7 separate regions of the Mus musculus genome follow, and regions 1, 2, 3, 4, 5 and 6 are each reported to be linked to region 7. The links are microRNA targets in miRTarBase. Many come from high-throughput screens and were not tested one by one. Region 7 holds a microRNA gene; each other region holds the end of a gene's coding sequence. Distances are between the middles of the regions.

Region 1 (4,068 bases), not on the chromosome of region 7:
CTCTGTGTCCCTTCAGGACTCACCTCCAGGACCTCAAAGAAGTAACACACAACATCCACTATGAGACTTACAGGGCCAAGAGGCTCAATGACAATGGAGGCCTCCCTCCGGTGAGCGTGGACACAGAGGAAAGCCACGACAGTAACCCGTGATGAGCCCTTCTCTGTGTTATCATACATATCCCCCTTCTCCAAACACACACACATCCTAGATACCACCTCCAGCCACCACCTCCTCTCAGCTCTGTCCCCCAGGCCTGTCTGGTATTTGTGCAGTATTTTGTCTAGTGTGTGTGTGTGTGTGTGTGTGTGTGTGTGTGTGTGTGTGTGTATGTATGTGTGTATGTGTGTGATGGAGAGTGCCTGCGTGTATGTGTGTGTGATGGAGAGTGCCTGTGTGTGTGTATGCATGTGTGTGTATGTATGCGTGTACTCAGGGGTGAGGTATTTTCATTGCCCTCTTTGGAAAGTCCTTTGTAAGTCTGCTTTCTCCATGACTCTCCATTCTGTCTCCTTTTTTCTTGTGCTCCAGAACAAAAAGCTGTGCGCCTCACTCAAGAGGTCTGGGGAAGGTTTTAATTTATAATGCTGGGAGCAGGTGAGCCACAGGCAACTCTTTCTTACTTCTGACCCACCCACAAACTGGGGCTGCAAGTATTCTTCATGGACTGGTGGCTGAGCTAGCCTGTGGTGGGCTGTGGGAGCTCAGAACAACTTTTCACTGTAAGTTGAGGTAATCTGGAGGAAGGCTAGGACTTCTTGGGGAAACAGAAGATTCGTGGGGAGCAGAGAAGAAAGCTGAGGGGCTCCTGCAGAATTGGTGTCTGAAAATGGAGCTCCACCCTTGTGTCTATGTTGGGGTCACTGTCAAACAGCGGATCATCACCGCTGCAAACCACTGCTTTCTGTGCCCGCCTTCCCTGTATTTCCAGGCTGGTTGGTTGCTTCCTCGTCCTGATTTCTCTTCTCCCTCCCCAGCGTCCTTTGCCTCCTTTCTTCATATATATTCATGCATTCACCCCATTTCCTGCCTGTCTCTGACCTTTTATCTCCTTTTAGAGTCATCTATGTTAGCTTCCTTTCTATATTTAGAAATCATGCCCAGACTTTCTAAATTGACTTTCTATTACCCTAAGATAGAATCACAGCTAGGGGCTGAAGAGATGGCTCTGTGCTTCGGGGGACCTTTTGCTCTTGCAGAGGACCCAGGTTCAGTTCCCAGCACCTTCTTGGTAGCTTACAGTTATCTGTGACTCCAGTTCCAGAGGACCTGACACCCTCTTTTAGCCTCTATGAGCATGGTGTACATACATACACATAGACAAGCACTCATACGCATAAGATAAAAAAAAAAAAAACCCTTAAAAGAATAAGATCCTAAGTAAAAGCATGGGGCAGGGCATGCCGAGATTGCAAGAGAATTCAGTTATAGAGAAGATGACTAGGAAAGCCAGTTTCTGCAGCTGACCACTGAAATTTGCTCTGACTTGGGAATAGCCTGGGGAAATGGGAGAATTTGGTAGCTTGGGCTGCTCTGGGTGTTCTGTTCAAGAAGCACATCTATTGGGCAAATGAGGCAAACTTTAGGTGGAGGAAATTATATTCACAAACTAATTCTGAAGAATCGGAAAAAATATACAGAGTTTCTTAGGCGGCTGGACTTGTGAGACAAACTAACACAGTTTCCCGTTTTCTAGCAGCCTTCTGTCCATGTTAAGCTGGCTTCTCTGTGGCTTTGTTTCTTACAAACCCAACTCACTCTTTCTCTGTTCTCATTTGTCTGTCTGTCTTTCTCGGCTTCTCCCCTCCCTGCATTCTCTCACCATCCAATCCTGTAGATGTTCCCAGGAATACCCACAGCCATACATTTAGCCTTCTCTTGCCTTCTCAGGAGCCTTGTATTTATTAATGCATACTTTAACTGCTCCTTGCACATTCAAGTTTTTTTTTTTTCCCTACAGTTTCTAAGGCTGCTTTAAGGAAAGCCATTTAGCCATAGGAAAGGGAAGATACCACAAAATTCTGTTTAGAACTGATCTATCCACTATGCCACCTCCCGGTCCAGCCTGGGTGTAGAACTGGTCTTCACTGACTTCAGCCCTTTATTACCCAGTCACTAGGAAAACAAACACACAGACAAACAAAAAACAAAAAGAGATGGAAGACCCACAATTCAGTGGACCAAGCAGAAGTGGTCCTAATCCTATGGTCTTAGCCTTTCCTGGAGACTGCTCTGTCTCTAGTCCTCATCTATAACGTCACTAAAGAGTGGCCAGCTGTCAGGCTAGAGTGGTAGCAACATAGAGCTCGCTGACAGCTCTAGTGAGCTGCCCTGTATGGTGACATGGGATTGGGCACCTAGGGCCAGCAAGGGATAAGAATGGTGGGTGTTGGAGAGTCTAAGTAGGAGAATGCTGCCTGTCTCCACTAAGCTGTGGTCTCACTCTCCCTGGAGAAGCTGTTTTATGTGTCTGCTGCCGGCTGCCGGTCTCCACACCCTCAACCGTTCTCAACTCCCCCTGCAGGGAGAAGGCCTCCTGGGCACTGTCCTTCCACCTGTACCAGCCACCCCCTGCCCCACTGCTGAATGAAGGCCATTTCAAGTGCTGCTTCTCCCTCATCCCTCCCAGCTGTTATTGCTGCAGGGCCACGCCCCTTTTAGCGCTGTGCTTGTCTAGCCCACCAGCACAGCCCCTCTCAGCCCTCAGTAGGTGGGAGGGGCTAGCTGCGGCTTTAGGACAGTTGCTTCCTCTGTTTAGCCAAACTACTCCTCTCCTCCCAATGGAATGGAGTTCCTGCCAGCACCACCCTGCTCCATCATCTGTGTCAGCAGCACCCCAGTCCTTGTGTAGGGAGGAGGAACTCATGGGAAGCTGCTCCTGCCCTTGCAAGCGCATACCAGCGACTTGTAACTGTCTCCAAGGGAACCGGCATTGCTCTCTAGCCATTCATTCTGCATGAGTACTTTCTTGGCTACCTTAACCGGTCAAGAAAGCAACTTTCCTGCTTGTCAGAGTCACTGAGGTCAGCCGTGTGAGCCCCTGTGTGGGACAAGGGTGTCTCCTTCATTGCTTAAAGGTATTTTATAAGGGTGATTCATTATACATGGTGGGGAGCCAGAGGCTAGTGTCACTTAAAAAAAAAAATCACCACTGGTGGCTGGCCCAGTGAGTATGTGTGTAGACAACCTGTTTACCCCAAAATATGGCCATCTGGGAAGTGGGTTTTGCTGAAAAGAGGTTGCTGGAGTTGACTTAATTATCCCCAAACTTTAAAAGAAAGGGAATTTAACACACATATGGACTACCCCAAACCCACCAGCTATACACTCTAGGAAGAAAAATAGCACCCTTTTATACATTTAGCAATAAGAGGGATCTCTTCCCACCTCCCCTGACTATTCCTACTCCCATCCCCCACCCTGTTAATGTGAGCAATGCATTAGCCTGACCACAGGTGGTCGCTATAGGCTAATGGAAAATACCCAAATGGAGGGCAAAGCCCCCATCAGATGCATGAATGTTTGCGAACGAACGGCTGCCACTGCCCCATACACTGTGTCTTTCTAGAACCCTCCCTCAGCCACCCCACCTGCCATCTCCACCTGGACACAACTTGCTCAAAGGCTGGTGACTTGTGGGCCATTCATCTACAAGTCCTGAAGGAACAAGAGGCCCAAGCCTCGGGGATGCAAGAATGGCCCATTTTAAAAACGTTGTTAGTCCCAGCCGACGTTTTTGGTGATATTCCAGTTTAGTTTCCCAATTGAAAACAAGCCAAACAGACACTCAGACTGGTCATGTAGATGTTGCTAGCCTCTGTTGTACAACTAAACATTACTGTTTGAACAATAATGGCCTGGTCTTTGTCTTATTCGTGTTTCTTGCTCCTTGATAAAATCAGCCGTGAATGACATCATCTCACTGCGTGTGAGCCAGGGACCCTCCTGGCAAGGCAAGAAGTAGCTACAGATATTAGATATTGAACATGTGGCATCTATTCATTTTTTGGGTAATGTGAGGCTATATCCCAGTCATTTCCTGGAATTTTGTAACTCTAGTGAGCGGGA
Region 2 (4,068 bases), not on the chromosome of region 7:
TGCAGGACACTGAGTGAGTCCCCAGCCAGGTCCCTCCCGCCCAGTCAGCCCCGCAGTACTTTGCTTAAATATCTGTACAGGAGGACAGTGCTGTCCTCCCAGGAGTCTAGAACCGTGGCGGGAGATCTCAGGGAGGGCTGTAGTTTGGTCTAACTTCCTATGTCTGCCATGGCCCCAACAGGAGACCCCTGCCCAGGGCAGCTCTGTACTCCTTCAAGGCTGCCCGGGCTCTGCTGGACCACAGAAAGGTGGAATCTAGCCCAGCCAGCCTGGCCATCTGTGAGAAGGCCAGTGGGTACCTGCGGGACAGCTTAGCCTCTACACCAACTGGCAGTTCCATTGACAAGGTGAGGGGTAGGGTGGGTTCCTGTCTAGGCCAGGGTCACAGCTGTCCATTTCCAGGTTCTTGGTGTTAGTACAGAATAATGCTAAATGGATTTACCTCAGTTTTAACGACGGCTTAAGTCTTGGGGAGAGGGGGCTTTACTGTTTCGCCACCACCAGGAAGGAGGGTGTGGGGAGCAGACTGGCAGGGTTCCTGTTGGGAGCCATTGTTGGGAAGACTGCGGGCTTGTAGCAGGAGGCGGTGCATGTGTTGAGGCAGATGCAGTGCTTCAGTGATGCAACCTGGAGTCAGGCCCCAGTGCTGTGGACTTCCTGCCCTTACTGACGCTGCCTTGAGACAGGGTGGCCCTCAGCTAGGGAAAGCTTGATGTCCATAGGGAAACTCCTCCCTCTGCCCTGCCTGCTATCCCAGGCCATGCAGCTGCTCCTGTGTGATCTACTTCTTGTGGCCCGTACCAGTCTGTGGCAGCGGCAGCAGTCACCAGCTTCAGTCCAGGTAGCTCACGGTACCAGCAATGGACCCCAGGCCTCTGCTCTGGAGCTGCGTGGTTTCCAACATGACCTGAGCAGCCTGCGGCGGTTGGCACAGAGCTTCCGGCCTGCTATGAGGAGGGTGAGTCCCACTGTTCTCACACTGAGGGGCATGAGGTAGGAAGCCGGGAGTGGGGGGACAGTAAATCTGAAACGGGTGACTACTCCTTGCCTCTCAGGTATTCCTACATGAGGCCACAGCTCGGCTGATGGCAGGAGCAAGTCCTGCCCGGACACACCAGCTCCTGGATCGCAGTCTGAGGAGGAGGGCAGGTTCCAGTGGCAAAGGAGGTGAGGAGGTGGCTGTGCTTACAGGGCTGGTGAGGGTCAGGGGCCGTCTTGGTCTAGTGAGACATACTGAGAGCTGACTTACAGAAATCAGCGGGGATGACAGTTTTTGAGGCAGTCATAGGAAAGAAGCTGAGCCCCCCTGTGTGCCCAGCCCAAGTGGAGAAAGCAGCCAGACTGGGAGTTCCACGTGGAAGAGCTCAGCTACTTTGTCCTGCACATGGGGTGTGGGCTCGGCCAGACCTAAGCCTCCCTCCCTTTGATGTGATCTGTGCAGGCACTACAGCTGAGCTGGAGCCACGGCCCACATGGCGGGAGCACACCGAGGCCCTGCTGTTGGCATCCTGCTATCTGCCCCCTGCCTTCCTGTCGGCTCCTGGGCAGCGAATGAGCATGCTGGCCGAGGCGGCACGCACCGTAGAGAAGCTTGGCGATCACCGGCTACTGCTGGACTGCCAGCAGATGCTCCTGCGCCTGGGCGGCGGAACCACCGTCACTTCCAGCTAGACCCCAAAGCTTTCCCTTGAGGACCTTTGTCATTGGCTGTGGTCTTCCAGAGGGTGAGCCTGACAAGCAATCAGGACCATGCCGACCTCTAGTGGCAGATCTGGAAATTGCAGAGGCTGCACTGGCCCGATGGCACCCTCTTGCTCTGTAGGCACCTTAGTGGCTTTTCCCTAGCTGAGGCTCACCCTGGGAGACCTGTACATAGTGTAGATCCGGCTGGGCCTGGCTCCAGGGCAGGCCCATGTACTACTTTGACTTTTGCAAACTTTATTTTCATAGGTTGAGAAATTTTGTACAGAATATTAAAAAATGAAATTATTTATAACTTCAGTTTTGTTTATCTGGGTAGGCAGATGTCTGCCTCAGCTGATTGCTATCTTTCCTGGCTTGTCCTTTGGGAAGCCGGACTTCCCATCTGTTGTAAGGTGTATTTGCTGGCTTGGTGATGCTATGTTGAGCCACCTTGGCCCTCTGATCTCATGGCTCATAACCCTTGAGGGGCCTTGATGGTCTCAGTTGTTCCTTTGCCTTCCAGCCCTCCACCAGGTAATAACCCCGTATATCCAGAAACACACACAGTTCCCTAGTCATCTCTGTGCACCAGCATAGGCGAAGGATCAGGGCCCATTAGTGAGTAGACTGGGAACCCTGTTTGTGTCCCCCGGCCCCTTCCCTCTACTCCCAACCCCTTAGGGAATCTGGTCGGCATCCACAGGCCGCACACTTCCAAAACAATCGTGGTATCTTTATTGACTTTTTTTTTTCTGAATGCAATGACTGTTTTTTTTTTTTTTAACTCTTAAGGAAAATAAACATCTTTTAGAAACAGCTCGATACACACAATCTTCAGTGTGAAGCAATATACTAATAAGAACACTAGTTGTCTTAACATTTACAGTCTTCATATATATTATATATATGTATATGTATACATATATATACACTATATAACGAGGCCAGATATAATACACACGTTTACCATTTTACAGTCATATGTACAGAACGTTGCAGGGAGAAGGGGCTGCATCAGGCCTATTAAAGCGTGGACAGAGCTGAGGACACAAACGGACAGGTGGGGGCTGGCCGTGGTGGTGGTGATGGTGGTAGTTGCTCGGGGAAGGGGCATCACTTTGGCCCCGACCCCAGCCAAGGCCAGGTTAGGGCTCTGTGCTGTGGAGCACACGACGCACAGCAGCGACACACAGAAGCGAGCATGTTCCCAACATATATACATTCTATGTAACATATATATAGAGGGGTACACAGGTTTGTACACGAATCTAGCACTGTCTCCGCCTATGAGCCGAGTGAGCTGAGTGGCAGTCCCTGAATCCCATGTTGGTGTTTTGTCTGGGACAGCTGCACATCTGCTAGAGGGTAGCCAGGCCCAGTCTCCTCAGGCTTCCAGACGGGGCTCCAACAGTGGGGTGGAAGACTGGAAAGGGGACAAACAGAAGCCATAGGGCGCCACCCCAGGCCAGCCCGCATCAAGGATAGACTGGCCTGAGCCCAGGCTGCCACGATCTTGGGCAGATCCATGCCAAGTGCTGAGCCATGTCCCCCGCCGCTGGGCCTCTAAGAAAGGCTTGGGTCTGCCCCACGTCGTCCACTGAGCCAGCAGCCTAGCCTCTTCCCAGGGGCACAGCTTGCATGCCACGTCTTTTTCAGAACTTGCAGGGGACTTGCCCCCCGCCTGAGACATTGTGCCCTGGGTCTGGCCACTCCCTGGCCTGCCTTCGCCAAGCCTGGCCCCGGTTTTCTTCGCAACCTAGGCCTCACGCCAGCGCCCAAGGCAGCCGGAACCTAGACCCTGGATGGGATCAAGGACCGGCTGTGGGCGCAGCTCTTCTTCCTCGGAGTTTCGGCCACACGGGGATTACAACGGCAGCCTCTGTGGGAGGGACAGCCCGTTACTGTTATCACCAGCCGCTGCCACCCCTGTCCTTCCACAAGAACTGTGCAATCACCCTAGACTGGCAAAGTAACTTTAGGACCCAGCCTGCACCCCTCCCTACTCTCTGGCAGGGCAGGGAGAAACTGGGTTAGGTAGGGAATGCTTTCTCTGGGGAGCCTGCTCACCTACCTTATGTTTGGGGCACTTCAAAGTAAAATTCTCCTCAATGAACGTGCAACCTGTGAGCAAAGAAAAGTTTCTGTGGTGATGCAGAGCCGGCTGGCTGCCAGTGTTAGTTCTGATGCCCTGGTCTTGCTCAGAACCCTCATTAGTCCAAATCCCCCCAGAGGTGCAGCCCCTCTGCCTCTACCCTGCTATGTCCCTTCCTGGCCTCCACTCCTAGACACCCCCCCTGCCCCACCCCCACCCTGGCCACCACTACCTGGCCATCTCCCTCCTACCCAGGTCTCCCCAAAGGAGAAGGAACACTCATTCTCAGACAT
Region 3 (4,067 bases), not on the chromosome of region 7:
AGAAGACCTAATCTAATGAGAAAGGGAGGGTGTGATGAGACAGAGCGACTCACACTGTGGACATCAGGGCGCAGAGGCCTGCTCTTCAGGTTTCCCTCTTCCATTTTATTACACGTGGACTCCAAGGCTGCTGAACATAGGTCTTTCCTCTCTTAATCCATCCTGGAAATTTTTTTTGTAGACACAACTAGAGGTTAATCTACTAGGGGTTCTTGAATCAACTTGACTATCGATGTCAACTATGACATCAGATTCCAGGGAAGCCTGAGAAGCTCCAATTGAAGTTATGCAGGCTAACTACAGATAACTATGACACGAACTATAACCGGTCTGGTTGTAGCATAAGGGAAGCTACACTATGTCAACGCCTTTTCTATTTGTGTGTGCACATTCATGTGCATTTGTGTGTGCCAAAGTACATGTTAGAGGCCAGAGACTGATACTGGTTATCTTCCTCTTATGTTTTGAGACTGGTCCTCTACACTGGGACTCGCGGATTTGTCTAGGCTGGCCATGGAGCTGGCTTGTTTGCTATCCCCCTAGCACTGGGATTGGCACAGTAGTAGCATCTCTTGCCATACCTGGCTTTTCTGTAGATGAAGGGGTTCACGTTTGCCCAGCAGGTATTTTATCCAGTAACCCATATCCCCGGTTCTCAGTGCCCTAAGATGCAGAACACGAACCTGTCACCCAAGTTATGTCTCCCTGACCACTACAGAAAGAAACCTCAAAGCTTACCTGTGGAGGAAATGTCTGTAACACCCATGGAGGACACAGGTTCTTTATGAACCCTCACAAACAGCAGCAGAAAGCGTCTCAGTCAACAGTTAGGAGCTGTTCCTCATACTGAAGTCTTCTATTTTCTAATTGTACCTTTAAGCTCCAACACCGTTAGCCATGACATCAGCTCTCCCATAGTGTGTAAGTATTTGAAACAGTGAGAATTCACTTGAGAATTCACTCTCCAGACGAACTTTCCTCTTGAGGGCTATTTCCAAAGTCATCACCATATTGTTGGTTTCTCAAACACTTGTGATGCTAATTAATACAAGCCTGCTGAAAATGTAGTTCTTAGGATGGGTCATAGTAGCCCATTCCTTATGGGAGCTAACCATATTGGGATCCAGAGGGACTTTCGATCTGGATACAAACATCTTCCAGTTCCCTCTTCAAAGGCTTTGTGCTTCCCACAGGCCCCTCCCTATATGTGCTAAACAGTGAACTGCTACTGATATTTGGCTAGAAGGTCACCAAGACTTTTGGTTGCCAAGTCACATCATCACAGTGAGGTTTTGCCTCTACCTGACAATGGGACTTGATTAATTTTGTTTTATGTTTGTCTTAGTAGAGGAATCTTTCAATTTTAATAACATGTTCATATATAACTATTCCAGCTGTTATTTATATGTTAGTATTTTTTAGTGGATTTTCTTGCTTTTAGCCAAAGGACTTGCTATTCCCCCTCTTTATTCAATAGCTAGGAATCCACTTAGCCAAAGTTATCCAGTCCTATCTCTCAAGCACAAAGGTATGTCAACAGAGACACCAAGTACCTTGATGGGCACAGTGAGCACTTTCTATAAAACTTTCTTAGGTATCCAGCTTCTCTGATGACAAACGCTGCAGACATTGTACCTTGGGAAGAACACTTTAGAGCTGCCTCTGGGTATCTGAAAATCGCCGGTGGAAAGCTTGAGAACAGAGGACGAGCACAGCGGAACAGGGGTACCAAACCTGTTCCTTATGAGGAAATGGAACATGCAGGAATATCCAACCAAATAGAAGCCCAAGCAGAGGGTGGTGGCATCCACCTATAAACACAACACGAGGGGTGGTTGCGCGGCTGATTCGCTGTGCCTTTAACATTAAAAGACAAAAGTACTGTGAGCTCATTCTCACGGACAATGATGTCACTTTATTGTGTGCAGTCAGTCTTTTACACACTGGCTATTAGCTTTTCCAAGTAAAGTAAGATTTATGATGAAGTTATTTTTGAAGGAGACAAACCGGGCAATAATAGAAAAAGCTGAAGAGAGTTTTTTTTTTTCTTTCTTTTTCTCCTTTTTTTTGTCTGAAAGTAGGAAACAAAAATGGGGGTGGGGACAGATGTGAGACGCTTCCAGAGGTTTCTACCACCACCATAAAAGCAGCTGGGAGAGCATAGCACTTGCTAGCATGGGTGAAGAAGCCGGAGGTTTGATGCCCAGCCTTGTAAAAATCAAATCAAACTACATAAACAAAGGGCTTCCCTGCTGTGTACCAGCTCTTGGTACTCTGTATAACTTTATTACACGACATAATATTTTATTGAACACAAAGTCCACCGGGTCTAAAGAACAGACAGGCTCTAATTTCGTTTCCTGCCAGGAAAGTCATTCCTCAGGTATGTGTGGAGAAACAACTCAAAGCCCTGTGGAAAGTCCGATCACAGCTCATTTACATTTTCTCCTCTCTATCCTACTTGGCTTCCGTTTGGAGTAGACTCCCAAGGCTAAAATAATGCTGTGAGCTCACTACTCTGAGCTGGAAACTTAGGTCCCAATAAAAGGAGTTGGAGATCTGGAGGTTCACTTAACAGTCGCCATATGAAACAGCCTGCTGGACAGCCTTTTCCCACAGCTCGGTTGCCCACGGAACACTTGGGAGCAGCTGTTCGCAAACGCTCTGCTCCAACGCACTCTTTTCTGGAGTTTTCAAAGCTAAGTTCCAGTGGATGTCATCTCTCCCCCTGGCACTTCAACACACTGTGACTACAGGGCCGACCTACCACTTTCAGGGAGGCAAGGTCAGAGTCTTATTAGAAACGTGAGAACTGAGCTGAGTGAGGCAGCTCACACCTGCGCCCCTAAGGCTTGGGAGGCCGAAGCAGGGGAATTACCATGAGTTCCAGGCGAATCTGGCTCCATGGTGAGATGGTGCCTCAAGCAAACAAAATAAAAAAAATATATATATATAAGCAAAACAAGCAGAAACAAATACATAGCAAATACTAAAAGTCGAGAACCCAAAAGATGCCTAAGTTCTCTGCTTCTCTCACTGTGACTGCAACCGAAGACTTGACATTTGAGCTTCTAGTGCAAGACACAAAACTTATATACTAGGCCAGTTGAAACAAAATTTAAAAATATTATCTAAATAATAATATTAACTTTAGAAATTAAATTTTAGAAGGGAAAGAACCCCAAATCTAAGTGGAGCTATGTAAGTAAGTGTGACAGAAGCCGAGAATCACAAAGCTCACTACAAAAGACAAACAGCATTGAAGTGTATCCTGCGGGCCTTGACACACACAGGCAAACTGTCACTTAGTTGTGAGGCAGAGGGTCAAGGTTGACACAGGGCTCTGAGAAAATATTTACCAGAGAGAACATGCTGATTCACTTATCAGTCCAGGAATCTCAAGTATAAAACTTCAAGATATAAGAAAGATCAAATTATATCATGTATGTGATTCAATTTAAAATGTCTTAGCCCTCTTACATTATATTATCTGGATTATAACAGTAAAAAAATCAAATTACAGTCATATGAAACTTTTATCAAAAGAAATCAAATCTGTTTTTATGAAACTTTATAGTACAATTATTTTTAGTGGGTCTTTTCTTAGGTCACAGTATTTATAATTCCATTTACATCTGTATAATTTTTAAAATGAAGAAACAAAAGCAAATGAATAGAAATCTAAGTTTTCCTTTGTAAAACTGCCTTCAGTCTCCAGGCCGGCACCACATGGCGGACGGTGTTGGCTTGTCCTCCAGCCACGGACAGCCCCCAGCGTCCCTGCTTTACGAAGCATTCAGGCCTCGACTCATCAGGAATGCTTTCTGGTTTGGCTCACGTTGCAAGAAATTCTGGAGCATGTCCATGCCGTCCAGGGACCCCCCAGGCTTCAGGATTAGGTTTCTGTATTTCATTCCAACCTAATAAAAGAAAACATCATGCCTAATAACTCACGGGCCCAGCAATCCTCCAGATCCCCAGACACAAGGGAGAGAGAGGTGAGGGCGAGGAAAGGGGCTTCAGCTCTACTCGAGTCTAGACAGTTCTGCTCACGCAGCAGCTCGCTC
Region 4 (4,065 bases), 120 Mb from region 7:
GATTTTTAATTTCTCCTGTTTGTGATGGATTCTTGATTTGCTAAGATACAGGTAGATGACAGTTGTTTTTTTAACATGTCCACACCTATACAAAGTAGATGGAGGAACTCGTTGCTATGAACGTTAAGGTTGCATTTTATCCATTGTAATATTTTGTCTCTTTATTAGGCTTCCTCATTTGGATATGTGGGAGGAATTTTTTCACATCATGTTGAATATACCGGATTGTCATAATCTTCCATCTTTGGATTTTCTGAGACAGAATATGAAGAAATTACTTGAACAACAGTATTCCAACAAGATTAAGACCTTGCGTAATAGGCTAATTGTGATGCTTTCAGAATATAAGCGTTCAAGAAAATAAAATGAATATGGACCTTCTCCAAAACACACTTAGTAAATTTAAACTCTCACTTTGAATCCTATTTTTTTCATACTTACTATTTATGTATGTTTAAAAAAAATAAAGCCCATATGATATACCCATGTGACCTAGTTGTTCTAAATACTCTAACAAACAAAGTAAGGAGACCCCTGTAAGCAGGCTGATCTATTGGGTTGCTCTTAGTATACAAATCTTCTTGAGAATGATTCAAATTTAGATGCTTTATAGAAGTTACCTCCCTGCCCCCAACTCCAAGACAATTTCTCAGTATAACCAGAGCCCTGGCTGTCCTGGACTTGGCTGTAGACCAGGCTGGCCTCGAGCTCATAGAGAACCACCCGCCTCTGCCTCCCAAGTGCTGGGGTTACGGGAGTAACCACCATGCCCTGCTAGAAATCACCTTTCTAAACACTGACCTATTTAAGTTAAAAGTAAGCCATAAAAAGAGTTATAAATTATGTTTAGTTAGCGTATGTAGGATTAGGTTTCCTTATGGCATTTTAAGAAAAAAAAATGTTTATTTTTCTTCCCCATACTTTTGACCCCCTTTGTTCTCTTTCACACCCCATAGCTTACTTTCCACTTCCATGTCTCATCTGTCAATGTCCCCTCCTCCTTTCTTAACATCTTTTTCCCTTAAGGTCTTTACTTTCTAACCCCATGTATTTTTATACAAATTTCATGGTGTACATCTGAAAAGAATTTTATTGTGTATGATTCCACATTGTCATTATACAACCATCAGTTGATTGATAAACATCTGGGCTGATTCCATTTCTTTGCTATTGTGAATAGAGGAACAATTGACATGGATGTGCAGGTTTCTCTTGTAAAAGATAGAATCCTTTGTGTGCCCTGGAGTAGGAAGCTAGTTCATAAACAGTTCTAGTTTTCTGGGGGTTTGTGTGTGTGTGTGTGTGTGTGTTGTTTTGTTCTTGTTGTGAGACCACCATACTGATTTCCACAATGACCATACTAGGTCGCATTTCAACTAACAATGAATAAAGAATTTCTGTTTACTCAAATGCACACTGACATTTTTGTCTCATGTTAGAGACATGTTCTGATAAGGGTAAGAAAAAGTAGCTTGGGTTGGTATTTATCTCATGGCTAAGTATAATGAATGCCACGCCCCTCCCCTGCTCTCTTTTTTATTTTTTTATTTTTTATTTTTTTTGTTTTTTTTTTTTTTGTTTTTTTTTTTTCCATTTTTTATTAGGTATTTAGCTCATTTACATTTCCAATGCTATACCAAAAGTCCCCCTTACCCACCCACCCCCACTCCCCTACCCACCCACTCCCCCCCTTTGGCCCTGGCGTTCCCCTGTACCGGGGCACACAAAGTCTGCGTGTCCAATGGGCCTCTCTTTCCAGTGATGGCCGACTAGGCCATCTTTTGATACATATGCAGCTAGAGTCAAGAGCTCAGGGGTACTGGTTAGTTCATAATGTTGTTCCACCTATAGGGTTGAAGATCCCTTTAGCTCCTTGGGTACTTTCTCTAGCTCCTCCATTGGGAGCCCTGTGATCCATCCATTAGCTGACTGTGAGCATCCACTTCTGTGTTTGCTAGGCCCCGGCTTAGTCTCACAAGAGACAGCTACATCTGGGTCCTTTCAGTAAAATCTTGCTAGTGTATGCAATGGTGTCAGCATTTGGAAGCTGATTATGGGGTGGATCCCTGGATACCTGGATATGGCAGTCTCTACATGGTCCATCCTTTCATCTCAGCTCCATACTTTGTTTCTGTAACTCCTTCCATGGGTGTTTTGTTCCCACTTCTAAGGAGGGGCATAGTGTCCACACTTCAGTCTTCATTTTTCTTGAGTTTCATGTGTTTAGGAAATTGTATCTTATATCGTGGGTATCCTAGGTTTTGGGCTAGTATCCACTTATCAGTGAGTACATATTGTGTGAGTTCCTTTGTGATTGTGTTACCTCACTCAGGATGATGCTCTCCAGGTCCATCCATTTGGCTAGGAATTTCATAAATTCATTCTTTTTAATAGCTGAGTAGTACTCCATTGTGTAGATGTACCACATTTTCTGTATCCATTCCTCTGTTGAGGGGCATCTGGGTTCTTTCCAGTTTCTGGCTATTATAAATAAGGCTGCTATGAACATAGTGGAGCATGTGTCCTTCTTACCAGTTGGGGCTTCTTCTGGATATATGCCCAGGAGAGGTATTGCTGGATCCTCCGGTAGTACTATGTCCAATTTTCTGAGGAACCGCCAGACTGATTTCCAGAGTGGTTGTACAAGCCTGCAATCCCACCAACAATGGAGGAGTGTTCCTCTTTCTCCACATCCTCGCCAGCATCTGCTGTCACCTGAATTTTTGATCTTAGCCATTCTCACTGGTGTGAGGTGGAATCTCAGGGTTGTTTTGATTTGCATTTCCCTGATGATTAAGGATGTTGAACATTTTTTCAGGTGCTTCTCTGCCATTCGGTATTCCTCAGGTGAGAATTCTTTGTTCAGTTCTGAGCCCCATTTTTTAAGGGGGTTATTTGATTTTCTGAGGTCCACCTTCTTAAGTTCTTTATATATGTTGGATATTAGTCCCCTATCTGATTTAGGATATGTAAAGATCCTTTCCCAGTCTGTTGGTGGTCTTTTTGTCTTATAGACAGTGTCTTTTGCCTTGCAGAAACTTTGGAGTTTCATTAGGTCCCATTTGTCAATTCTCGATCTTACAGTACAAGCCATTGCTGTTCTGTTCAGGAATTTTTCCCCTGTGCCCATATCTTCAAGGCTTTTCCCCACTTTCTCCTCTATAAGTTTCAGTGTCTCTGGTTTTATGTGAAGTTCCTTGATCCACTTAGATTTGACCTTAGTACAAGGAGATAAGTATGGATCGATTCGCATTCTTCTACATGATAACAACCAGTTGTGCCAGCACCAATTGTTGAAAATGCTGTCTTTCTTCCACTGGATGGTTTTGGCTCCCTTGTCGAAGATCAAGTGACCATAGGTGTGTGGGTTCATTTCTGGGTCTTCAATTCTATTCCATTGGTCCACTTGTCTGTCTCTATACCAGTACCATGCAGTTTTTATCACAATTGCTCTGTAGTAAAGCTTTAGGTCAGGCATGGTGATTCCACCAGAGGTTCTTTTATCCTTGAGAAGAGTTTTGGCTATCCTCGGTTTTTTGTTATTCCAGATGAATTTGCAAATTGCTCCTTCTAATTCGTTGAAGAATTGAGTTGGAATTTTAATGGGGATTGCATTGAATCTGTAGATTGCTTTTGGCAAGATAGCCATTTTTACAATGTTGGTCCTGCCAATCCATGAGCATGGGAGATCTTTCCATCTTCTGAGATCTTCTTTAATTTCTTTCTTCAGGGACTTGAAGTTTTTATCATACAGATCTTTCACTTCCTTCGTTAGAGTCACGCCGAGATATTTTATATTATTTGTGGCTATTGAGAAGGGTGTTGTTTCCCTAATTTCTTTCTCAGCCTGTTTATTCTTTGTGTAGAGAAAGGCCATTGACTTGTTTGAGTTAATTTTATATCCAGCTACTTCACCGAAGCTGTTTATCAGGTTTAGGAGTTCTCTGTTGGAATTTTTAGGGTCACTTATATATACTATCATATCATCTGCAAAAAGTGATATTTTGACTTCCTCTTTTCCAATTTGTATCCCCTTGATCTCCTTTTGTTGTCGAATTGCTCTGG
Region 5 (4,068 bases), not on the chromosome of region 7:
GAAATGGAGAAGTCAGATGCCAACAACTTCTTAATCTTGTTCCGGGATTCAGGCTGCCAGTTCAGGTCTTTGTATACTTACTGCCCAGAAACTGAAGAAATCAATAAACTGACTGGGATAGGTCCTAAATCTATCACTAAAAAGATGATTGAGGGACTTTACAAGTACAATTCTGACAGAAAACAGTTTAGCCACATACCTGCTAAAACTTTATCTGCTAGCGTGGATGCGATTACCATTCATAGCCACTTATGGCAGACCAAGAGACCAGTAACCCCAAAAAAACTCTTACCCACTAAAGCATAGGCAGCAGGAGATGCTCGCTTCAGAACCTTTGTGGTAAATTTGTACTTCGTCTTTCCTGCCTATAGAAAAACCTTTCTAATTGCCAACAAGATTTTTATCAATTAAAACTGGACCTTAACTCTGTTGTTGTGAACAACTGGAATGTAATCACAGTGTTTGGAATGCCGACGGTTCTTACTAGGTGATAAGTCCACGCGATGAAGGAAATGCTTTGATTCACAGGCGGAGATTTGCATGCTAGCAGGCTCACCTGCCTGTGTTAGAGACCGTGCAGCACTGAATTCTCATGGACACAGCGGGACATAGGCTTGAGGTGTGGCTAGATGGCAATTATGTGATGTATTCTTTTTACCCCTGTACTGTGTGTGCACATCGTCAAATGGTTTCGTTGTTGTTGTCGTCGTTCTGTTCCCTCTCCTGGGGTTATTCTAAGCTGCCTTTGTGTTTGTTTTATGTGGAGATCATGAAAGTAGAAAGTTCCTGTTGAAAAGTACCTTGCACCTTTCATATGATGGTAAGAGAGACACTAGTATTAGTTTTACAGTAGCCCTCGTGTTCTGATGGTGTTACAGTATTTGCAAGAATCCTTCTAAGTATTTACATTCTGTATTTATTATTCACACAAGTATTAACATTTCTCTATTAGTAAGGAGGTGTTTAAAAGCTGCTGCTGGGTCCCCTGCAGACCACACAAGCTAACCCAGCACATCCTGTAAGAGGCTGCTGATGAAATCAGTGCTGGTTGTCTCTACACCACTTCTGCCAACTCAGAACAAATCAGATTGTACTTTTAACAACAGAGCACTTTGTATTGCATTTAAAGTGCGTCACTGTATAAGGTGGCAGAAGTGAGTGAGTGACACGTGAGTGCTGCCTTTCTGTATGAAAGCATACAGCTTCCTGGCAGCTCAGGAGGCCTTTATATTTATAACCGATAGGGAAATTATATTTAGGATTTTTAAACATGCACAAAGGGCTACATTTTGATTTGAAAGTAGCTTCCTGTTATTTTACTTATACTGGGTTTTCTTTCCTTTGAATCCTTTTCCAGTGGAACAGCTTAGATTCAGGGCACACTTGAAATCTCCTCTCCATGATCTTTCTTCTTTAGCAAGCATACCAGAGTAAGTTGGGGGGAAACTTCATTCTCAGGAAAAGACTTGAATGATTGATTGTGTGGCCCTTTTATGTTTCAGTGTTGTGACAACTGTGTACACTAGTGGGGAAGACATTGTTTATAAGTGAGAGAGTAGTTTGTTTTCTTTCATGGGATATAGAGATGAAATATGTACATTTCTCTAATTAAGTTGTTTAGAGAGGGAACTCATGTCTCATGTTATGTATTTACTTATTTAAAAAGAAGAATGGAATGGGAAGTCCCTCAGCTGTACTTTTCTATTATAAAGCCTTTAGGGATCAGTGCATCTGGGTTTTCAACATTTTCTCAAATGCTGTCAATATTTTACTGTAATTTATGTTCTTATATTTATGTATATTTGTTAAAACTGTAAAAAAATTTTTCACAGATTTTTTTCCAATACCTGTGCAAAATGTATGTGTAGCTCAAGACTATTTGTGATCTACTGCTTGCATGTGAGAGACCAGGATATGTAACTCTTATATTTTAAATGTATACATACTGTGTATATATAAATATTAAAAACGGGGAATTTCACATTTTACCTTTCAGACACCAATTTTTATCACAATTAGAAGGAAATGGGCAAACAAAGACATCCTTACGATAAGATTAGTTTAAGAGTTATAAACAAACTTAATCAAAACAAAGTGAATTATAGACAAAGGAATTTAATAAGCATTTTCTACTACTAACCAAGGTCTTTTCCCTATCAAAGCAGCCTCATGGCTGTCACCTGAGTACTGAATAAAGAAAAGTCAGGTGCAGGACATTGAGAGAACTAATGAACACTGACCTCGCCTGTCTTCGTTCTTCCATCTGTACATCCAGCAACTGAGCGGAATGTCTAGTGTCTAAAGGTGTGATGTGAATATTGCCACAAAGTTCATTGCTCTCAGTATAAGATTTTACTTTATTAATGCAAGAGGAATACAGATATATTTCTTTAGTCTGCAGATTTTTTTTTATTATGGTGCAGCTTTTTAAATTATGTTTTAAAATTATACAAATGAAAAAATGCCATTCCATAAAGTTTGGAGATTTCCATCCACCTTACTGAAACACAAGCGTTGTCATCGTTGGAGGTCAAATTACCATGGTAACTACTCAGTTAAATCTGCCAAATCCTTGTCATGGTAACCAGTGTGGCCTGTCAACTCCTGCTACTTACCACAACTTCTAAAGTTTTCCTCTCAGTTTCTCAGTTTTGTTTAGGAGGACTATTGTTTGTATTTGGCTGCTCACAGCCAGAGTCTCCTTCTTTGATGTGACTCATGGACACTGTTGGGCGATGTGCAGTGTGTAGTGTGCTTCCTGTCCACTCCTGAGCGCTGCAGATGATCCGTCAGGCTTGCTCGTTCCTGGGGGTTACAGTGTAGTTCCCCTTTCATCTGAATAAAAGCATGGCACCAACTGACGCTGATTCTTCAATAAAGTGCGTGTTGTCTTGTCTTGTGTTTGATAACGTTATTTGGACTCAGGAAAATACATCATGAAGTTTTCTTGTCTCAGCCTAGGTTTAAATTTAGTAATTGAATATTTACCTAAGTAATTTTTAATATTAAATTATGCTTGAATGCCTTTTGAGGTGGCATTGCGGTGTTGTTAAGTTTCTGTGCTTTGCTCTGAAGTATCTGTCTCTATGACTCTCACATGTTTATGTTCCTTATACACAGTCACACTGGCTCTAGTGAGTTGAGAATTGTGAGGTGTGAGTACCACTGCGTCTTCAGTGTGGCTCTGAGCCCCTCTACACAGTGGCCAGTTCTGTACCAGTCTCTAGCTGTCACTTGTGCTCAGTTTATTCGGATGAAGGCATGAAATAAATCCTGATAGCCAGAACAACCCTCATGCATAACTGTGCGCTCAGACACTGCCTGAGCTCTTTTGTAAGATGCTCAGTCCTCAGCCAAGTGGTTGTGGCGCACATCTTACTCCCAGCACTTAGGCGGCGGAAAGCAGGCAGAGCTCTCGAAAAACCAAAAGATAAACAAAAAAAGACACTTGGTCCTCAGAGTACAACTATACTTCCATAAGTCTCCAGTATTTTAATTTTCCAAAATAAAAACATTTGATCCTAAAAACTGAGTGTATCAGCAGAGGGAGGAATATCCATAAACTATGATGCTTTCCCTCCCCCTGGCTAATAAGCGGGTGAACGCTGCTGGGGTCGAGGAAAATGCCCCACAGCAGACAGGAGCATCTTCACTACTAACCCCTATACAGAGATAATGAAGAAAAGCTGATGAATCAAAGAGCCTCAAGCCTATGACCAGGAATTAGAAAAAAAATTCTGAAATGAGTGAAATCCCATCATCCCATAGAAATAGTGCTACTTAAAACCAGAGCTGTGCTTTCAGAACAAGGGTTTCTTTTTAAAAAGAAATCAGGTTTTTGTGGGGTTTGTATAAATCGATGGAGTTTGAATCATCTCATGTTTGCACCTTTGGGCATCTAGGCTTCTCAAAAGCACCTCAGCATTGCAGTGCTGTGCTTAGATACCAAAACTTAGTGTCACTGTTGCACATGAGCATCGACCAGTGTTTTCTATTTGTGTTATAGAAGGATAGGAAGGACTGGAGAGATGGCTCAGTGGTCTGTATGTAGTCTGGTTACAGGGCAGC
Region 6 (4,068 bases), not on the chromosome of region 7:
CTGACCTCCGGGCTCTGCTGACGTCAGGAACTCCTGACTCTCAGATCTGGATGACTTATGGGACCCCCAGTCTCCCGGCCCAGGTGCCTGAGGGGTTCCTTGCATCACGGGCAGATCTGACGTCTAGGACCCCGGATCTCTGGGCACGATTGAATGTGGGGACTTCAGGCTCCAGTGACCAGGAGGCCCGCAGGAGCCCTGGAAGCCGTCGGCGCGAATGGCTGGCGGTGGCGGTGGGCGCAGGAGGTGCAGTGGTGCTGCTGTTGTGGGGTTGGGGTCGGGGTCTTTCCACGGTGCTGGCTGCTGTTCCTGCTCCGCCACCCACTTCTCCCCGGAGCCAGTACAATTTCATCGCAGATGTGGTGGAGAAGACAGCCCCTGCTGTGGTCTATATCGAGATCCTAGACCGGTAATGGTGAAGTTGACCAGGAGGTGTTGAACTGCCGTTAGTGAAGGCAAGGGAGCAGGATGAGGTGGAAGCTGCAGTGTAATGGGTACTTTCCCCATCCCAGGCACCCTTTCTCCGGCCGTGAAGTCCCCATCTCAAACGGATCAGGATTCGTAGTGGCTTCAGATGGGCTCATCGTTACCAACGCCCACGTGGTGGCTGATCGGCGCCGAGTACGAGTGAGGCTGCCTAGCGGGGATACTTATGAGGCCATGGTCACAGCTGTGGATCCCGTAGCAGACATTGCCACACTGAGGATTCAAACCAAGGTGGGGATGGAGTAGGCCAGATCTGATGGCAGCTGTTCTCTTGCTCCCTTCTTAAAATGACCAGTTTTGCTGGCCTTGTTTCCCTTAAGGAGCCTCTTCCCACACTGCCCCTCGGCCGCTCTGCTGATGTCCGGCAAGGGGAGTTTGTTGTTGCCATGGGAAGCCCCTTTGCACTGCAGAACACGATCACATCTGGTATTGTCAGCTCTGCTCAGCGCCCAGCCAGGGACCTGGGACTCCCTCAAAACAACGTGGAATACATTCAGACCGATGCAGCTATTGATGTGCGTCCTGATATGAGGGAAATTAGGTGCTAAGGTTGGAATTGGGGAGAACAGCTGTTGGGTATGAGCACCAACTGACACGTGGTGGTGACTGGGCCTGTATCAGAGGTTGGGCTGCAAAAGGCAGCCTCTCTAGTTCATGTGCTAGGAATGGAATTTGAAAAATTTCCCTACACCCTGTTTATGTCCTCGGTCTTAGAATTCCCAGAGCATGGGATTCCAGATCTTTTTGATGTTTTCTTTCATTTTATCTCACAGTTTGGAAATTCTGGTGGTCCCCTGGTTAACCTGGTGAGTGTCCGTGTTCTTCTAAGAATCCATGCCCCAGGTTAGTGTGGGAAGTGTGGGTTTTCCTCTGATTTAGGGAATTTTAGCTAAGTCTCTAGTCTCTTGTTCCTCTCCTGGTATACAGACAGACAGACAGACAGACAGACTTCTGTCCCCAAATCCTTGCTACTCTTGTTCAGGTGCCCCCATCCTCTGCCATCTGTGTGGGCTAGGGGACAGGGGGCTGTGTCCCTGCAGGATGGGGAGGTGATTGGAGTGAACACCATGAAGGTGACAGCTGGAATCTCCTTTGCCATCCCTTCTGATCGCCTTAGGGAGTTTCTGCATCGCGGGGAAAAGAAAAGTGAGCCTGTCTTACAGGGAAAGGGGTTCCTTTAAAATGGAGGATGGGACTTAGGGGAGGGCATTCACTGGGGCTTGGTATAGAGGGGTGTGCTGGTAGAAAGTAAGGGAAAGAATGTAGCTGGGGGGCGGTTCATTTGTCCTCTTTTATTACAGATTCCTGGTTTGGAACCAGTGGGTCCCAGCGCCGCTACATTGGAGTGATGATGCTGACCCTGACTCCCAGGTATGTTAGTGTGGTGATATATACATATACATATATATGTATGTTAGTGTGGTGATATATACATATATCTATATATATGTATATATATATACACCTATACATACATACACACACACACCCCTACACACACACCATACACACACCCTATCCTTTTCTTGGGTTTTCTCTCATGTCTGTTTTTTCCTAAGATAAGCTGTTGTCTTCTGTCACAAGCACTGTTCCCTCTCATAACTTTCTCATCCCACTGCATCTGGATCTTTCAGTAGATTGAGTACATCCTGCTATTGCTGTGATGTAAAGCCAACATTGACCTAGCACTGGAGGCCCATTCCCGCCCATTCCCACCCATCTCGTTATCCTTCCAGACAGCTTGCCGTTTCTTCGGAACTACTTTCATTTTCCACTTCTATGTCTCAATACCTTATTTCGTAAGGTGGTAGGACCCACCCTTCTAGGCTCAGCTTAAGTTCTAACCCTTCAGGATGACAGAAGTGAAGTTGATCAACACCATGTATCTTTCGAAATTAGCTATCTTTTATGTGTATATCCCACTTCCTAAGCTCTAGAAGGCAGAAGGTGAACTATTAAGATGGGAGAGGGCCTGTGTGGAGCTAATAGTGTCTGTGCCCTTTCAGCATCCTTATTGAACTACAGCTCCGTGAGCCAAGCTTCCCTGATGTTCAGCATGGTGTCCTCATTCATAAAGTTATCCTGGGCTCCCCCGCACACAGGTGATGGGGAGCGTGCTCTGGGGGGGGGGGTTGGGTGGGATGGGATGGGTGGATGTATCCTTGAACTTCTCTGTCTATTCTCTCCTTGCCCCGTCCATCCTCCACAGGGCTGGTCTGCGGCCTGGTGATGTGATCTTGGCCATTGGGGAGAAATTGGCACAAAATGCTGAAGATGTTTATGAAGCTGTTCGAACCCAATCACAGCTGGCAGTGCGGATCCGGCGCGGATCAGAGACACTGACCTTATATGTGACCCCCGAGGTCACAGAATGAATGACTGGACCGGCAAGAGTGTGAAGCTCTTGCCCTGATCTCCTCCTTGCTTTCCTAGCCTAGGTTCTGAGTGCATGTGGGTAGAGGAGGAGTCAGTGAACCTGCGGAGGGCAAGTCCCTCTAACCGCTGCATCAGTCCTGGGCTCCGAAGAACACATTTTATATAAAATAAAATTATACCTAGCAACATGTTACAGTCAAAAGTGGGGGTTGGATCTTCTCCCCCACCAAATGGCTAGAGGTAACGCGGTCCTTAGGAGAACGGAGAGCGATGGGAGCTGACCCTCTTGACCTCCCCTATTCAAGAGAATGAGCTGCTGCCATCCTGTGTGGGGCAGTTCTTTGTGGTGTGTTCTGTCTGTTGCTGGGGCTGTTGGCTGATTCTCCATGCTTGTTGGCCAAAGGTAATGACAGCTGACCCCGTAAAGGAGGCACCAACTTCTGTTTGACAGTTTGTTGCCTGTAGTGCACAGGTGGTTGAGTGTAGGGCGCCTGCTGACATCAGGGGTTCTTGTGGTAAGCTCCTGAGGTAATGGCAGCCTCAGACCCCTGCCATTGGGGGCCAGTGGTGGTTTACAGAGAGGGTGGTAGCATTTTAGACGATCTGGTTACTAGTCTGGCCAGGGTAGCGCTCAAACCTCCTGTTGGCTTCTTCGCTGAAGGCATCACCTGCAGAATAGACAGGCACTGTGAGGGGCTGTCCCTGCACAGAGGCAAGAGCACACACCCATCATGGGCAGTGACAGCATGGAAGCCTTTCCCTCCTGCCCTGCATTCACCCATCTCATCTGTTACCTACCGATGTGGCAGTTGTGCACCCAGATGCGATGCCCGTCGTATTTGCAGTTACACTTCATTGCATTGTTGGTGAAGTCACTTTCTGCTACCTCAAAATTTGGGTTGATAACGACCTGTGAGTGAGGAAGAAAGCTGGTGTGACCCAGCAGCACTCCGACAGGTCACAGGTGTCCTCATCACTCACCCCAAACCCCAGCATCTGAAAGCTCAGGCAGATGCTAGGCACCTGAAGAATGTAGTTTCCTGGCTTCACATCTGTGATGTCGATCCACTGACAGTCAATGTCATGCCTGTAGAGATCCCAACATCCCACGGTGATGCCCTGCTCTCCAAAGTTGGCGCACTCATACCTCTTGGAGACATCTGAAGGAAGTGTTAGATGTCAGGGAAGGGCGGCAAGGCCATGCTT
Region 7 (4,068 bases):
TTTCAAGATTATGCAGTAGTGGGACAGTGAATGGTTTTACTCACCAGGTGTGAAAGACTGTGGATCAGGAGTTCAAATTCATGCTTTACTTCATGATGACTTAGAGATATGCCTGGGATTCATGTGATGCCCCCTATGTATCCCTATCTGTATCTGTTTCTATTGTGTGTGGATTTGAGTATATGGCTGTACCTATCTACACAAATATATACATGTACACAGACACAAACAGAAACACACACACAAACATCAGTGCAACTCATCGATCCATTTGAATGACGTGTGACTTAGAGTTTTAAGATTCCTCAGTACTGAATGGGGAGAGGTCTCACTCAGCAGGAGAAATCCCTTGACAGAGTCAGTTGGATCAGGAGTTCAAATTTGTGCTGAATTTCATGATGAGTTCATGACCAGCATGGGATTCATCTTATGCCCACCAAAAATGTGCATGTGTGTATAGTTGTGTGCATATTCACTTCTCTATATGAATATGCATATACACGCATGCAAACACATTCATAGGAATGGCCAGAGCTATATCTCAGTTAGGAGGTGAGCACTCTTGCCAGAGCTAGGAAGATGAGGAGTTCAAATTCATGTTTAACTTCTTGATGTGTTAGAGTTCAGCATGCGATTCATGTGATACCCACCAAGATTTTGCATGTGTGTATAGTTGTGTACATATTTACTTCTGTACATAAATATGCATATACTCACATGCAAACATACTCCCACGAATGATCCGAGCTATGACTCAGTTAGGAGGTGAATACTCTTGCCAGCATCATGAGGATGAGCAGTTCAAATTCATGTTTAACTTTTTGGTGAGTTAGAGATCAGCCCGGAATTCATGTTATTTTCCCTGTGTATGCGTTTATGTGTAAAGGGAAGTGTGCCTGTACATGCGGGTATATGAACATGCATATATATAAACACACCTAGGGACACATACATGTGCACACAAACACACATGGCAGTCATCCATTTGATTTATACGTGCTTAGAGTTTCATTGAGTGTATATTCATGGTATAGGGAAACATCTCATTTATCAGATGAAAACTGCTTGCCAGAGTTAGGAGTCTCAGGAGTTCAAATTCATGCTTAACTTCATGATGAATTAGAGATCACCCTGGATTTGTGGGATGGACCCTAGGTATGTACATGCCCATATATTGTGTGTGCACGTACATGTGTATATATGATCATACATATAAATACACACACATACAAATGTATTCACACACACAGGCATGCACACTCACACACATAAGAATGACACTCATTGATCCATTTGAATGATATATGTCTTAAAATTTTGCTGATTATAAAGTAGAGGGACAGTGAATATTCTCACTCACCAGGTGTAAACAATTGTCAGTGTCAGGAGGATCAGGAGTTCAATTTCATGCTTAACTTCATGAGCAGTTAGAGATCATCCTGGAATAATGTGATGGCCCCTATGTACGTGCCTGTGTGCGTAAGTGCCTGCATGTATATGCGTGTATATTTTATGCATATACATACACACACCTACACACACATGCACACAGACATGCGGGAATAGCCCTCACGGTCCATTTGAATGATATGTGACCTACTGCTTTGGAGGTTATGTATGACTGGGCCAGGGTGAGGTCTCACAAACCACAGGAAACCCTTGGTAGAGTCGGGAAGATCAGGAGTGCAAGTTCGTGGTAAAGGCATGATGAGTTAGAGGTCATCCTGGCATTCATGTGATTGCCCCTATGTATGTGTGTATGTGTTGATGTGTGTGTACATGTACATATGTGAATATGATATACATATACATACACGCACACATAAGACACATATGAGCACACAGACACATGGGAATGGCACTCATCAATCCATTTGAGTGATAAGTGACTTAGAGTGAAAATGCTTGCTAGAGTTAAGAGTATCAGGAGTTCAAATTCATACTTATCCTCATGAGAGATCAGCTTGTGATTCCTCCATGTATGTGCATGTGTGTATAGTTGTGTGTGCATGTTCATGTCTATATTTGAATATACATAACATACACACACACGTATAAACGCAAGCACACATACACAGACACAGGAATGGCATTCGCCAATCCCTTTGAATGATAAGTGATGTAGAGTTTTAGAGATTATGCAATAGGGGGCATTGAATGGCCTCACTCACCAGGTGTAAAAGATTGACAAAGTCAGGAGGATAAGGATTGCAAATTCATGCTTAACTTCATTTGGAGACATCTTGGTATTAATGTCATGCAACCCATTTATGTGCATGTGTGCTTACTTGTATGTGCATTGTATGTGTTGACATGATATACATAACATAAACACACGTGTATCTGCAAGCACACACACACAGGAAAAATTGCATTCATTTATACGTTTGAATGATATGTGACTTAAAGTTTTCAAGATTATGCAGTAGTGGGACAGTGAATGGTTTTACTCACCAGGTGTGAAAGATTGTGGATCAGGAGTTCAAATGCATGCTTTACTACATGATGACTTAGAGATATGCCTGGGATTCATGTGATGCCCCCTATGTATCCCTATCTGTATCTGTTTCTATTGTGTGTGGATTTGAGTATATGGATGTACCTATCTACACAAATATATACATGTACACAGACACAAACAGAAACACACACACAAACATCAGTGCAACTCATCGATCCATTTGAATGACGTGTGACTTAGAGTTTTAAGATTCCTCAGTACTGAATGGGGAGAGGTCTCACTCAGCAGGTGAAATCCCTTGACAGAGTCAGTTGGATCAGGAGTTCAAATTCGTGCTGAATTTCATGATGAGTTCATGACCAGCATGGGATTCATCTTATGCCCACCAAAAATGTGCATGTGTGTATAGTTGTGTGCATATTCACTTCTCTATATGAATATGCATATACACACATGCACACACATTCATAGGAATGGCCAGAGCTATGTCTCAGTTAGGAGGTGAGCACTCTTGCCAGTGTCAGGAGGATGAGGAGTTCAAAATCATGTTTAACTTCATGATGAGTTAGAGTTCAGCATGCGATTCATGTGATGTCCACCAAGAATGTGCATGTGTGTATAGTTGTGTACATATTCACTTTTGTATATGAATATGCATATACTCACATGCAAACATACTCCCACGAATGGCCCGAGCTATGACTCAGTTAGGAGGTGAATACTCTTGCCAGCATCATGAGGATGAGCAGTTCAAATTCATGTTTAACTTTTTGATGAGTTAGAGATCAGCCCGGAATTCATGAGATTTTCCCTGTGTTTGTGTTTATGTGTATAGGGAAGTATGCCTGTACATGCACGTATATGAACATGCATATATATATATATATATATATATATATACATACATATATATATATATACACACACACACAACTAGGGACACATACATGTGCACACAAACACACATGGCAGTCATCCATTTGATTTATACGTGCTTAGAGTTTCATTGAGTTTATATTCATGGTATAGGGAAAAATCTCACTTATCAAATGAAAACTGTTTGCCAGAGTTAGGAGTCTCAGGAGGTCAAATTCATGCTTAACTTCATGATGAGTTAGAGATCACCCTGGATTTGTGGGATCGACCCTAGTTATGTACATTTGCATATAATTGTGTGTGCACGTACATGTGTATATATGATCATCCCTGTAAATACACACACATACAAATGTATTCACACATACAGGCATGCACACTCACACACATAAGAATGACACTCATTGATCCATTTGAATGATATATGTCTTAGAATTTTGCTGATTATAAAGTAGAGGGACAGTGAATATTCTCTCTCACCAGGTGTAAACAATTGGCAGTGTCAGGAAGATCAGGAGTTCAATTTTATGCTTAACTTCATGAGCAGTTAGAGATCATCCTGGAATAATGTGATGGCCCCTATGTATGTGCCTGTGTGCGTAAGTGCCTGCATGTATATGCGTGTATATTTTATGCATATACATACACACACCTACACACACATGCACACAGACATGCGGGAATGGCACTCACGGATCCATTTGAATGATATGTGACCTACTGCTTTGGAG

Evidence for each region. The annotated mature microRNA mmu-miR-466a-3p reads UAUACAUACACGCACACAUAAGA and lies in region 7 at 1,806-1,828, shown strand. An mRNA with a match to its seed (bases 2 to 7 or 8) in the 3' UTR can be bound and repressed. Matches are read on the target gene's strand: a 7mer-m8 pairs with bases 2 to 8, a 7mer-A1 pairs with bases 2 to 7 and ends in A, and an 8mer does both.
Region 1: miRTarBase lists Septin3 as a target of mmu-miR-466a-3p. The part of its 3' UTR that is shown has no 7-base or 8-base seed match.
Region 2: miRTarBase lists Rai1 as a target of mmu-miR-466a-3p. Seed matches in the 3' UTR shown: 7mer-A1 at 2,899-2,905 and 8mer at 2,599-2,606.
Region 3: miRTarBase lists Nln as a target of mmu-miR-466a-3p. Seed matches in the 3' UTR shown: 7mer-m8 at 2,976-2,982.
Region 4: the mRNA of Bub1 is a reported target of mmu-miR-466a-3p. Seed matches in the 3' UTR shown: 7mer-m8 at 446-452.
Region 5: miRTarBase lists Camsap2 as a target of mmu-miR-466a-3p. Seed matches in the 3' UTR shown: 7mer-m8 at 1,644-1,650, 8mer at 1,794-1,801 and 7mer-A1 at 1,935-1,941.
Region 6: the mRNA of Loxl3 is a reported target of mmu-miR-466a-3p. Seed matches in the 3' UTR shown: 7mer-m8 at 1,958-1,964, 8mer at 1,953-1,960, 8mer at 1,915-1,922, 8mer at 1,883-1,890 and 8mer at 1,877-1,884.

What each region holds. Positions count from the first base shown.
Region 1 is chr15:82,290,722-82,294,789 of GRCm38, forward strand. Septin3 (septin 3) reads left to right here. Exons shown (of 12, transcript NM_001368785.1): 11 at 17-110; 12 at 532-3,853. The coding sequence ends at 585. Among named protein-coding and RNA genes, the nearest start is that of Wbp2nl, 6.2 kb to the right of the region's middle.
Region 2 is chr11:60,197,525-60,201,592 of GRCm38, reverse strand. It overlaps Rai1 (retinoic acid induced 1), which reads right to left. Exons shown (of 6, transcript NM_009021.2): 5 at 3,755-3,804; 6 at 2,398-3,562. The coding sequence ends at 3,548. Srebf1 (sterol regulatory element binding transcription factor 1) reads left to right here. Exons shown (of 19, transcript NM_011480.4): 15 at 1-13; 16 at 182-347; 17 at 758-958; 18 at 1,056-1,167; 19 at 1,442-2,509. The coding sequence ends at 1,671. Mir6921 (microRNA 6921) reads left to right here and starts at 976; the gene lies at 976-1,055.
Region 3 is chr13:104,021,161-104,025,227 of GRCm38, forward strand. It overlaps Nln (neurolysin (metallopeptidase M3 family)), which reads right to left. Exons shown (of 13, transcript NM_029447.2): 13 at 2,279-3,920. The coding sequence ends at 3,786. Among named protein-coding and RNA genes, the nearest start is that of Gm30967, 15 kb to the right of the region's middle.
Region 4 is chr2:127,797,542-127,801,606 of GRCm38, reverse strand. Bub1 (BUB1, mitotic checkpoint serine/threonine kinase) reads left to right here. Exons shown (of 25, transcript NM_009772.2): 25 at 169-1,407. The coding sequence ends at 364. Among named protein-coding and RNA genes, the nearest start is that of Mtln, 7.1 kb to the right of the region's middle.
Region 5 is chr1:136,267,080-136,271,147 of GRCm38, reverse strand. Camsap2 (calmodulin regulated spectrin-associated protein family, member 2) reads left to right here. Exons shown (of 18, transcript NM_001347109.1): 18 at 1-3,025. The coding sequence ends at 306. Among named protein-coding and RNA genes, the nearest start is that of Gpr25, 8.2 kb to the right of the region's middle.
Region 6 is chr6:83,050,262-83,054,329 of GRCm38, reverse strand. Loxl3 (lysyl oxidase-like 3) reads right to left here. Exons shown (of 14, transcript NM_013586.5): 12 at 3,886-4,022; 13 at 3,661-3,772; 14 at 1,764-3,530. The coding sequence ends at 3,457. Htra2 (HtrA serine peptidase 2) reads left to right here. Exons shown (of 8, transcript NM_019752.3): 1 at 1-409; 2 at 513-717; 3 at 807-1,001; 4 at 1,260-1,292; 5 at 1,527-1,632; 6 at 1,788-1,857; 7 at 2,493-2,588; 8 at 2,696-3,064. The coding sequence ends at 2,861. Among named protein-coding and RNA genes, the nearest start is that of Aup1, 2.2 kb to the left of the region's middle.
Region 7 is chr2:10,474,875-10,478,942 of GRCm38, forward strand. It overlaps Mir466b-8 (microRNA 466b-8), which reads left to right and starts at 1,754; the gene lies at 1,754-1,839. All of the region lies in intron 10 of Sfmbt2 (Scm-like with four mbt domains 2), which reads left to right. Mir669k (microRNA 669k) reads left to right here and starts at 426; the gene lies at 426-552. Mir467a-1 (microRNA 467a-1) reads left to right here and starts at 1,472; the gene lies at 1,472-1,544. It also overlaps Mir669a-1, Mir669g, Mir669j and Mir467a-2.